2 linked regions of the Alligator mississippiensis genome follow. The protein of the gene in region 2 interacts with the protein of the main gene of each other region in a pairwise test. Links are inferred from orthologs where the notes say so. Each region holds a gene or a part of one and is shown on either strand. Other genes may lie near its edges.

Region 1 (6,198 bases), on a different chromosome or scaffold from region 2:
ACTAAATCTCCATATGCAGAATCCATATCATTTAAAAGTTCACACAAATCTCCTGTGTGTCAGAGAGCAGCAGGCAATCAAAAAGCTGACAATTTTCACAACTGTTGTCATGATTTCATTGAAATCGGAAGATGAGATCTTACTGCACAGGCTCTCCTGATGAATAATACAATGGAAACTCATAAGAGGACATCCAATCTCAGTTTCCAGAAGCTTTACAAATCCAGCTGTTTTACCCACCATAGCAGGTGCGCCATCAGTGATAACAGGGAACACTTTGTGCAGGTCAATTTGTTGCTGTGTGAAATATCTTTGACAGCATTAAGTATATCTTTGTTGAGTGCTATGCATAGCACTCAAAGAAAACAATTCCTCGTGAACTTCCCCAGAGATAAAATATTGAACAATTATAGCAAGACGTGGGGGGGATACCTGTTATGTCTGTGTTTTCATCCAGTGCAAGGCTCATCACATCACAAGCATGGAGGTCTCGAGTCATTTGTTCCCTAACGTTAGTTTCCATTTCATCTATTCGCCTTTGAACAGTCCTGGATGACGATGGAATTTCATCAATACGAGCAATCATGTCCATCTTATTCGCAAAAATCCTGAAATAGATCCTCAGCACATTTTAAGAAAGAATCCTTTAAGTATTCTCCATCTGTAAAACTCTTGCCTTGCTGAGCTATATTTAGAGCTGCAATGTAACTTGCCTGTGTGGAGAAAGTATTTCTAGTTGCACAACTAGAAAAGCTGGCTGTCTGCTTTTTAAACGAATCAACGCTTTTCTAACGGATTCATGTTCGTCTGCTTCATTGACTCCAGAAGATTTGGCTTTGTGCTTGGTTGCAAAATGGCGCAGGACACTGGAAGCATGAGATACCACACTTCCGCTGTACAGACTACAAATACAATCCCCTTGCTGCACAAAACCATACAATTCTCTCCAAGCCAGATGAAACTTTTGAATATCTAACTTTGGTTTGTGTGAACTTCAGGAAATTTTACAGTTGGAAGGCACATAGATACATAACCATGGAAGGCAAAAAAAAAACCCAACAAAGGCAGCACAAACATTGTAAACAGAAAGCAGGAAAATCAGAAAGAATTGAATAATTTGAACGGTGTGTAAATCTGGGTAAGTATTTCCAAGACGACAAGCAGAGTAGCAGAAAAGCACACAAAGAAGTGAGCAATATGAAGTGTTTAAATCTAGGAATGCAAAGTAGAGAGAGCAAAATAACTGAACAGGAACTGTTTCAATAAAGTAAAAAACCTGAAAAACATGAACTGGTTTAAGAGAACGACAAACTGAATAAGAAATTACTTAAAAGAGCAACATACGCTGAATAATATGAACTGTTCTGAGTGAGCAAAAGCTGAATATGAATCGATTTAACAGAGCAAAATAAACTGATTAATGTGGAAAGGGCAACAGCTGAACATGAACTGGTTAATATGGAGAGAGCAAAAGCTGAACAGGAATCGATTTAACAGAGCAAAGTAAACTGAAGGGTACAAACTAGTTAGAGAGAGAGCAAAAGCTGAATCTGAAATAATTTTACAAACCAAAATAAACTAAATAATACCCGACCTTCAAATCTTAGCAGGAATCGCCACCAAGGGGCGTAGCCCGGAGGCACGTGCTGGCCTCATGCAGCAGCGGCGGAGGAGCAGAGCCGAGCCGAGCCGAGCCGCGCCGGTCCCTGCCCCCCGGCCGCGAGCAGCACCGCGGGCACGGCCAGGCGCGCGGCTGCACGTGCCCTCTGGGCGGAGGCGACAGGGTTGTGATGCCCCCGCCATGCCATGCCCTGCCCTGCCCCGCGGCGCGCCTGCCGTTGCCTCCAGCACGGAGCTGATGCCGGGCCCTGGGCTGCTCGGCTCGCTGCGGGTGCCCAGAGCCCGGGCGGGCTGCGATCAGCCGCGCCGACCCCGGGGGGGGGGGGGGTACAGCCACCCCAACATCTGCTTCCAGTGGAGGGCCGGGCTCCGCCCTCCCCGCGCAGCCGAGCCCCGAGGCTGAGGAGCCGGGGAGCCCGGCCCACTGCGAGCCCGGCCCCCGGAAGGGGCTGGCGCCCACGCCTCTGCGGGTTCTAGTTCGCGGGGGCCCGCCCGGGAGCAGGTTAGTGCCGGGCGGGCGCAGCCGGGCAGATGGCGGGAGGGGCGGGCGCTGCGCCGCCTCAGGGCTCTTCCCCGCCGCCCGCTCCGTGCAGACTGCGGCAGCCCGGGCCACGCGCGCCTCGGGGAGGGCGGCCGGGGCGGGGGCGGGGCCGGAGGCGGCATCGGTCCGGCGGCTCCGCGGCCGCCCGCGTGCCGGGCAAGATGGCCTCGCGTGCCCTGCTGTGGCACGCGTGCCGGGGGCTGCCCATCCCCGACCTGGAGAAGATCGCCTTGGACTACATCGTGCCCTGCCTGCACGACATCGGCTTCTGCTACCTGGACAATTTCCTGGGCGAGGTGGTGGGGGACTGCGTGCTGGAGCGCGTGAAGCAGATGCACTACAGCGGGGAGCTGCAGGATGGGCAGCTGGCCGGCCAGAGACACGGCATCGCCAGGCGGCACTTGAGGGGAGACCAGATCAAGTGGATCGGAGGCACGGAGGAAGGGTGCGAGGCCATCAACTTCCTCCTGTCCCTGATAGACAGGCTGGTGATGTATTGTGGCACCAGGCTGGGCAACTACTATGTCAAGGAGAGGTCCAAGGTAAGAGACTTGCTGTGGTTGAATTTGGGGTCGTTTCCTAAGGGCTTCATGTCTGTACGGGTTCTACCACCGAGTTGCACGTTCCTGATATCCTAACACCTGGCACCTCTCAACTCCCCAAACTGCTCCCAGGACTTGGCATCAATTTACCTTTTACTCATCTGTTTAAAAGACATAGCAGGTGACAGTGCTTACTGCAGCAAAAAAGGCTTCATTTGCCTTTGAAGCATAGTTTATGTATCTGCTGCCAGATGCAGGAGTAGAGTATGTTATTGTTTATAAACAGTTCCTGGATCCTTCGCTTAACCCAGCAGCACAGAAGTCGGGGCAAATTGAGAAGCATGTTCCAAGTTAAGCTGTAGAGAGGAATGAATGGAGATTTTTTTTAAAGTTGTAAAGTAAAGGACACTCAACAGCTGTTACTGTTCTCTTCCTCCCCAATGTCGTGTCTTTTGGGCAGTGGTGTTTAGAAGATGATCGGAAGACAGGCTCCCAGGCTGCTCATATTGTTTATAAAGAAGTGATGAGGTTAATCCTAAACTTATGCATGTGTGTACCCACAGAGACCACTTCACAGCTGAGTAAATAAACAAATGTACATAGTAATTAATTAACTAATTCCTAGTGAGAAGTGACTTGAGCCTGGATGAAGGCAGACAAGGATCTTTGGGTAAATCTGATATATTTTATTAGACCAGCTCAAATAGTTGGAAAAATTCTTCTTTGTGCTTGGGGGTCATAAGCTGAATGAATACTTTCCCCAATTTGATCCAAAGGGGAAGCTGTATTCACTTACAAGTTTATGGTGGTCATTTAAGATAAAGTCGACTAATAATGTATTTCTTCTAATACTTCCACTGGAAGGGCTGGCAAAATGCAGGTAAATGCTGACGAACTAATCATAATAGACTAAAGTACTCTGGTATGAGCTGCTTGTTTATTTTAACCCTTTGTCCGCAGCTGGCTATCACAGGTGTTTTTTAGCAGTTTGGTAAAGGTGAGTAGAAAGAGGGAGTTACCAATGTCCACTTGTGCTTGTCCACTGTTAAAACATGTTTGGTTTTGTTTGCAACATTTCATTCATATGGTAGTATTAATCCAGTGAGCTTCAGTCTCCATCCTCATGTCAACTATTTCAGAACTAAAGAATATTGTAATAGCTGTTAGCCTTGCCGTTAGAAGTATGAAAAGAAAGATACTTTGCTCTTGTTTAAGGGCATGCCAGAATTTCTTTGTGAAGAATGTGTTAAAAAGTTGCTACTTGAAATTCATTTCCCAGTCAATTTATCTGACCTTTAGTTCAGTCAGTTGGAAAATGTTGCTTTTATCCTCTGCACCTGTATGGAAATGACATTACCCTCTGTTACTAATTGTTGAAAAATTCCCCATAGTTCTTATCCGATTTTCATGGTTGGCAAACAATCTGAATTATACGTTCTCTTCTAGGTTTCCATTTATGTTTCCTCTTTCTGTGATGTAACTGTTAGAGCACTGAAAGTTGCATGATTCTTAAAATACCAGGCAAGAGCTTTGGGGCAGTTGCACTTCAAATTTTATTCTAATCTCAGTGTTTTCCTCCAGGTTTTAGGAAAGGGGATAGAGGAGGGATGGAAAGACCTTGAACAGTTAGCAGGGTATGTAAAGAGAACTTTTATGAATCCTTATTAATTGTTTCTTTTGGCATTATCTTAAACTAACCGGGGCATGTGGGAGTGGGGAATGATGATGTTTCTCAGCAGTGAGGGAGAGGGAATGAAATATTAGCTGTGGTGGGACTTAGCTGTTTCTCAGGTTTTTGGGAATATCCTGAAAAGTTGGCAAATACTAGTCAAGAGACCAGCCCTGTTAGTCTCAAATCAAGTAGAAGTCAATAGTTGTTGAATCATTAACCCTATATTGAGCGAATCATTCCTTTAAGCTGAAGAGCTGGATGGATTTGGGACACAGTGCGTGAGCCATCTTGTAGTGTCAGTTATTGTACATATTCCCAAGTGCCTGCCTCGCTAGTATGGGTAGGTATGGTGGTACCTTGTTGGCCACTAGGAGGAAGAAAAAGGGGATTTGCACTAAAGCAAGAGACAGACACCCACAGGGGAGATTGTCATCACATTCACCTAACTGCATACAAGGAGAACACCTACATTAGATGTAGCTTGTTGCATTGATCTGGAACAGACTTCTGGGACTTACCTTGGGCTGTGGAAGGTTGGGGGGGGGTTAAACCAAACTGTGGTATTCCTACAGCCTTCAATGTTTGAGAGTTATACTTGTTGTTATAATAACACATGTTAACAATAATAGCTGACTCTAGATTTTTCTTCATCTAGTAAAATTATCACATTTTACAAGTGGCTATGGAAATATTGCTATGAACAGATTTCTGTAGCTGTGTAGTGGTAACTGAACACTTGTGTGTGGAAGGTGACAGACTTCAAAGTAGCAGTGCAAAGAAAAGCTACACACTAGTATGGGGACTAAAAGGAAAGAGTATGGTATTTGAATTAAAATACACAGAGAATTTCTATTGGAAACTACCAAGAGCTAGCACCCTTATTATGGAAAAAATATCCCATTGAATTTTTGGTGATTACAGGTAGCTATTTTACATATCTATTGCAAGATGAAACCTAGAGCAAAACAGTGCCCCCTAGTATTATAGAAAGTTAGTGACCAACAGGGAAGACTCCCTCCAGCTTTGAATAAACTTTGTGTATAACTCAGCTTCCTATCCTGTATAGGTGTTTCTTGGAAGTTTCCTATCCAAGCACTAAGCTGGTCCATCTGGTCAGGACATCTGGTAACCTAATAAATAACAAGTGTAATTCCTTTAAAGTAAATAAGGTTTGACTTATTTGCTAGATTTTATCCTCATTTCAAATATGTGTAATTTTTTGGAGGTAGTAAAACTTTTAATAACTTAGTTTGAGTTTTTTTATCATTAGATTCAAGAGCTTTTCAGTTTGATACGCATTGTTCTAACTGTCTTGGTGATTACTTGATTTTTTATTTTTTTTTGTCAGATAATGGGGACAGAGAGGTGGGGGCTAATAACAATCAAGAACAGTTTGTTTATTTAAGATGTAAACTTTTGACTACCTGAGGAAGTATTCTGGCCATGGAAGTCACATCTGAGTAACATTGACTGATTTACTTGGCTGAGGTCTACTCTTTAAAATGACACATTGCTAAATTTATAGCATGTTCAGTTAAACATTAGCCTGGAATATTGGCAGAGAAAGGATTTGCTTAGTGTCTTAACTTTCCTGGTTCTATGAGCTGCCATTTGGTCAGTGTAATATGTATAACTATGGATTCCATAAAGGGCATAACAAGAATGACTCTTGTATAATACTGGTAACTTTTCCCTTGTATTTCTGGGGGGGATCAGAGTGGTATGGGGGGGGGGGGGGGCATGGGGATGCTTAAGTAATGGCACAACTGCCAAAAAGTTTCCCCACTACTTGTTAAAAGAAGAGGGTAACCATGACCCTTGCC
Region 2 (6,198 bases):
AGCTCTCCCCAAAGTCAATCAAGAGCTGCAGAGTTCTTTGGAGAATCAGGGTCACCAATTTAAGTGTCTGAATAAGGATTCAAAATCTATATTTTAGGAAAGTCTTAGCCAAAACTCCTATAGGCAAAGATTTAAATTTGCCTGTGAAGACTTTCATATTTATGGAAATACATAACCTTCTTCCCTTTCCCTTCTATTAGCACCTTTATATCCCATCGCTGGGGCAGGATGGCTGCAGCATTCCACCTCAGAGGCAGCTGCATTTCAGACCCAAGTAACAATTCATGTGCACCATGCACCTCTAAGGTTATCCCCTCTTCTCAGTTTACCAGCATCTCCTGGCTTCTGCTAGTCTGTCTTTCAAATTGCAAGCTCTTTAGGGCAGAGATTGCTTTAATTTTTGTGCTTGAAATAGCACTGAATACACTCCTTTAGTGATTACTGTACAAACAACAAACAATTACACACACACAACGCACCACAATCAGCTTTGCATCTTTGTCATGAATATTTAAAGCCCAGGCACAAAAATTTAAACTCTGGTCTTTCATTATGACAACTGAGAAAAATATTAAATTACAATAATGTTATACACCCATAAAAAAATATATGTGCTGGGGGGGGGGGGAGCAGACTTCTGCAAGGGTGGTATATGCATTCTGCAAGTGCTTTGGCATCCATCAGAACCAAAGACACTAGAAAAATGTCAAGTCATTATTGTGAGAGTGAAGGCAGAGGAAGGTAAATTAACCCCGAGAGCAGGAAAAGCTAGCAAACCCCCTTGAATGTGCAAAGGCCAAAATGCCTCAGTTATCTCCTTCCTAGCACTAGATAACATGCCTCTACTCAAAACAGTCCGATTGCATAACCAGAGGGCAACAGGTGGGAGGGCATCTGACAGCACATCTAGAAAACATGCGTTATGGGTTCAGGCTCTCTCTGGACAAACCACTGTGCCATGCTACGGAGAAGAGGGAGGGCAAAATGCCATGGCAGAAGGGGCTGTCACCTTGGGGGCACCTGGTATTCCACGGCCTGAGTTTCCTGCCCAGCCACACCAAGAAATCCCCCTTGATCCTCATTCTGGAATTTCCCTTTCACTATGCAGTCCCTTTCTGGATACTGAGCCAGTATTTGTCAGGGCTAGGGATACTCCGGTCTTGGATTTCCTCAGAATTGTCTCAGGGGAGTGACATGCCATAATGAAGTCTGCACTAGTGTTGAATACAGAAAGAGAGCTCTCAGGTGAGCGACAAAGTATTTGGGGCGGAGCATCTGCTCACAGGACCTACATTCACTTCCTCCCTGGTGAAGTCTCCCTTTGACCAGATTTCCCAATGAATGACCCAGGGCAACTATGCTTACTGGGAGGTGGGGGGAGGACGGCTGGGCTGTCCTGGTGTCAGAGCTCACTTGGTGTGGCATTTAACTGTCCCATGCACTGAAGGTCTGCTCCCCATGACTCTTCACCCAGAGGGAGCAACATAGGATTGATAATAGTGATGGAACAGATCCCCTGAGCTTTCAAAAAGGCTTCCACCCACACTACTAGGATTCCCCGTCTTAGACCCCATGCCCAATAGGACCCACAGGCAAGACCACCACTCAAACCCTTAGCCCCCAAGTGCAGAGGGCTCCACGTCCCAAAGTACTAGTAGCTCTGAGATTTGCAAGCTCAGCTCCTCAGCGTCCTAGGGCTCTAGCACCAGGATTCATGTGCACCCCCAGCCACCCAAGCACAGCACAATCCACACCCCAGGCAATGAGGCCAAGATTCACACCCACAACCCCATGAGTGCAGCATGACACACAGCTCAGGGCATAGGCACTAGCATTCACCCTGCCTCTCCAAAGCTTGTTCAGTCAATGTGATCTTCCCCATTGACCTCTGGATGATAGAAATTCATTTAATGTGAGTAATGATGAAAGGTGAGCGCAGGAGAAAGTCAATACAGCCTTCTGAGAAAGTGGAAGGGGAAAAAGACAGAAGGCTTGTTGCAATTTGGGGGGGGCACTATGGTGCCCCAGAAGCAATTCGCTTGGAAAGAGAAATCAGCACAACTCTTTATAACAAATACAAGATGACGATTAGTGACAGAGCTGGAAAAGGCATATGGAGAAAGAGAAATGGGGAGGGGAGGGGAAGCAGGGTTCAGAAACAAGGAGACAGAGAAGATGGAGAAAAGGAAAAAATACCAAGAAGGCCAGACAGAAAAGACATGGGAAGGCCATGAGGAGGAAAAAGGGCAAGAGACAGGAGAAGGGGAAAGGGAAGAAGAGGCAGGGGGGAGCGAAAGGTGATGTCATGTGGTCACTCACTCTGTCTGGAAGATTGTCTGCAGGGAGGGGGCTGGTGTCCAGCGCTGGCTTTTTGGGGGGCAGCCCTTCACGCTCCTCTGCTGGGCCCCATCCCAGGGGCGCCGCCACCAGCTATCCCACACTCTTCCTCCAGACACGCAGGGAGGCTGGAGGGGCGGCGGATGAAACCAGAAACCCTGAGGGGCAAAAAAGGGTCGCCAGCCCCCCCTCAAGTCCCTGGCATTATCCTAGGACGCAAAGGAGCCTCCTCTCCCGTCTCCCCTTTTAGCCACCAGCTATTTCAGGGGTGGCGCTCCCAGGAGATGGCCTCTTCTCGCGCTTTCCTTTCCCCTTGGACAAGCCTCTCTTGAGGGGGAGAGAAGAAAAATCGAGGCTAGGCCGGGGCCGCCCGGCTCCCCGCGCCAGGGCAGGCGTGGGCAGGGGTTGCCCCCTTACCTCCTCCGGCCGCGGCAGGGGGGGCCGAGGCAGCTGTCAAGTAAATAATGGCGGGGCAGCACCGCGGCCCCGGGGCGGGGGCCGATCCCCACTACCCGGCCGGGGGCTCGGGCTCGGGCTCGGGCTCGGGCCCGGGCCCAGGCCCGGCTGGCGGCGGGAGGAGGGCGAGGAGCAGGGAGGCGGGCGCGAGGGAGGGCCTGGGGCCGCCTCCGCCGCCGCCTGTCGGGCCGCGGGCTGGGCCGGGGGCGCGGGCGGCGCTGATCCGTGCAGGCCCCGCCACTGCTACCGCCGGCGGCTCCGGGCTGCGGCTCCACTGCAGGCCCCGGCTCCGCCCCGGCCCGCTCCGCCCCCCGCCGCCCCCGCCTTAAGGAGGCGCTTCGGCCCCCCCACCGGCAGCGCGGCCACGGTGCGAGGCTCGTGCGTGGGCTTTAGCTCGCCCCACAGCCTCCTCCAAGGGATGCGTCCCCGGCCCAAACCCCTCAGTGTCATTCCCCCCCCCGCGGAGTGCAGACCAGCCCGGACACAGCAGGGCCCCGGGGTGAAGCGCAGGGAGGGGACGCGGGCGTCATCCCCCTGACCCTGCTCGGACAAGCTCTTCCAGACGCCCTTCTCCCAGCTGGAGCCCCAGGAGGAAACCCGCGCGGCCCCTGCATCCTGTGGGCCACGCGCGGACGACCCGTCTGGCCCCTTCTTAGAGACAAAGTGAGCCCCCTGAGGCTGAAGCCGGGCAGAAGGCTGGGTGGAGGTGCACCTTATAGACTGATGAATTTTTTACTGTTTTTTTTGTGTGCGCAAAAATATGTGTGTGTGTGTGTGTGTGTGTGTGTGTGTGTGTGTGTGTGTATATATGTATATATATATATGTATATATAAAACTGCACCTCCAACACTGTGCCATGCAGCCCCTGCAGTTCACTTGGCATGATTTGGTCTGTTAAAGATCTATGATCTTGGCACGCAGATCAAAGCACACTCCAACAGTTAAACCATTCATAGTTGTTAGGGGCTGGAAGGGACCTTGTAGAACATCGGGTCCAGCCCCCCTGCACTAGGCAGGAAAAGACAACGGGTCAAGTGACCCCAGCAAGGTGACTGTCCAGTCTTCTCCTGATGATTTCCAGGGTAGGCGACTGCACCACCACCGGAGTTTATTCCACTGACTGTGAAGGAGTTTTTCCTGGAATTGAGCCTGAAGCAGCCTTCCAGGAGTTTGTATCCATTGCTCCTGGTCTTCCCCAGGGGTGCCCCAGTGAGCAGCGGTTTACCAAGTTCTTGATGTAAAAAAACCCCATTACACAGTTTGCACCGCACACCCATCTCCATACCCCCAGCCACTGCGCTCCTCAGAGGGCCCCCCCTGAAAAAGTTGATGCCAGACCCCTCTCCACCATGTGAGGTCTGCCATTTCTTTCTCATCCTTCTCGTCTGTCTTCGGTAGTACCAGTACGTTTCACTCAGCCCCATTTTAATACAGTCCTTGACTCTGTTAACAAAATTGAACAGAAATCCTAGAGCAGGGGTTCCCAACCTTTTTATGCTGTGGATCAGCAAACTGGACTGGATGTGGGTGTGGACCGGCAAAAAGTGGACCAGCAGTGACCGGCATGCTGCAGGCCAGCAGCTAACCCTTTTTAATTCTCAGTATAAAAAAGGGTTGGCTGCCGGTCCACAGTATACCGGTCACTTCCAGACTTCCAGTTCAGCAGACAACCCTCCTGTGGACTGGATGCCAACCCTTTGCGGCCTGGGGGTTGGAAACCCCTGTCCTAGAGAAGCAGGGCTGGAAGGGACCTCAGGAGGTCATCTAGTCCAAGTCCCTGCCCAAAGCAAGAAAGGTCTCGTGAGCTAAACCGGGCTTACAAAAACATATGTATCTTTGACTCAGTCAGTCTATAAGGTACACAGCTACCTTGACTTCAACCTATTTTTAATCTTTAAAACAATCCTCTTGTATGACTGCCAGGTACAATGCCTGAAACATGTTTCCCCTCATGCCTGCTGGTAGCTTTAGGTGATAACTGCACCCCTTTGGTTCCCCTCCACCTGGTGGAGGGTTGTGTGGCAGCTTCTCACTGTATAATCATCCCCCCAACCCCTCTCCAAACCATCTGATAATATTCTCTGACAAACCTCTGCCACAATCTCTCACCCTTACCCTGGTGGTGCAAAACCCAAAGAAATCTCTCTTTGATCATGGCATAAGCACCTTTTCACTGTGGTGTTCTCATCCTTGGCGCTGCCAGCTAATTCCCCCATGCATATCTGTGCCATAGTCTCCCACACCCTGCCGTGCTGTCCCTGCAAGTGCTCTCCGTTTGTATAAATCTCTCCCATCCCATGTGGGAGTTTCAGGCTGGCATGCGGCTGGGCAACACGTAGGTGCACATTGGCAATCTTATGGCAGCTTTCAGGTAAATTCAGAAGGAAGGCTAATGGTAATTAAAAGTGAATACTGTCATTATAGGGGAGGTGGGGATCTCTCTCAGGGTCTGTGGGCCATTTATTGAATAATTTTCTTCATTTCCCATCCGGTATGTCACACCCAGTGGTTCTGTCTGTCCTATTCCTGCTTTCCCCCGCACCAGCCATTCACCTTCCCTGCTTCCCTCCTTTCTCCCTCTTCCCCACCTCTCCAAGACTCCAGTGGCCCTATTCCTCACCCTATACCAGGGCTCCCAGTCTCTGCACCCTGTGACAGGACTCTGTGTGCTCCCACTCCATTCTATCCCCAGCATACAGACTTCTGTACACACCCCATTCCCTATATATTGTTGTCCCAATGTTCTTCAGCAGCTGAGTACAGCCCCTTTCCTCCCATTCCCCATGGCTCTGATTGTCCTTCCATCCCCCTCTCCCCACAGTCAGTCCTCTGTGAGACACCTTTCCCCCCTGCCAGAAACTGTGTTCCTCATTTCCCTTCCCCATTTTCCCCCCTCCAAGGGGTTGTGCATATGCCACCATTCTCCCTGTTGCACCAGTGTAATTATTTGGTTGGGACATAAATCATTCCAGATTTCAACATGTTAAACCCTAGTGGGAAGATGAGCAGGGGCATCATTGTTCTGGAAAGCATTAATGGGTGTCCTCAGCCAGTTGACTGATCTCTAGCCAACTGCATGGTTGCCTGGAAGTAATAAACAGATGGCAGGTGATCCTTGCACTTCTATTTCCACCCTCTTTGGTTTTCCCCAGAAACAAGAGTTCAGGCCACTGATGCATGAAATGTTTGAAGATCCCTGAAAATATTAAATCGATCTATGTAAAGTTATAAACAGGGACTCAAACACAGAAATGTCCTTGCACATAAAACCCACCAAGGCTCAGCCAAATTACCTGTGTTGGGGGAGTGTTGAAAAGCCCCCATCATGGACAAGTCATATACAGAGAACAAAATGATCCCTGCCCCAAAGAGCCACCTCACAAGCTAAGACAAAAGACAACTGA

Evidence for each region.
Region 1: the proteins of FOXJ2 (region 2) and EGLN3 interact in binary tests that used the Homo sapiens proteins (3 or more experiments, as listed by UniProt). The two-hybrid records come from large-scale screens. The link is inferred for Alligator mississippiensis from reciprocal best matches to the Homo sapiens genes FOXJ2 and EGLN3.

Annotation. Positions count from the first base shown.
Region 1 is NC_081825.1:255,770,361-255,776,558, reverse strand, and holds the start of EGLN3 (prolyl hydroxylase EGLN3), read left to right. Parts: upstream 1-2,106; 5' UTR 2,107-2,151; coding exon 2,152-2,703; intron 2,704-6,198. UniProt on the Homo sapiens protein: Prolyl hydroxylase that mediates hydroxylation of proline residues in target proteins, such as PKM, TELO2, ATF4 and HIF1A. Target proteins are preferentially recognized via a LXXLAP motif.
Region 2 is NC_081827.1:148,063,021-148,069,218, reverse strand, and holds the start of FOXJ2 (forkhead box protein J2), read right to left. Parts: upstream 3,050-6,198; 5' UTR 2,320-3,049; intron 1-2,319.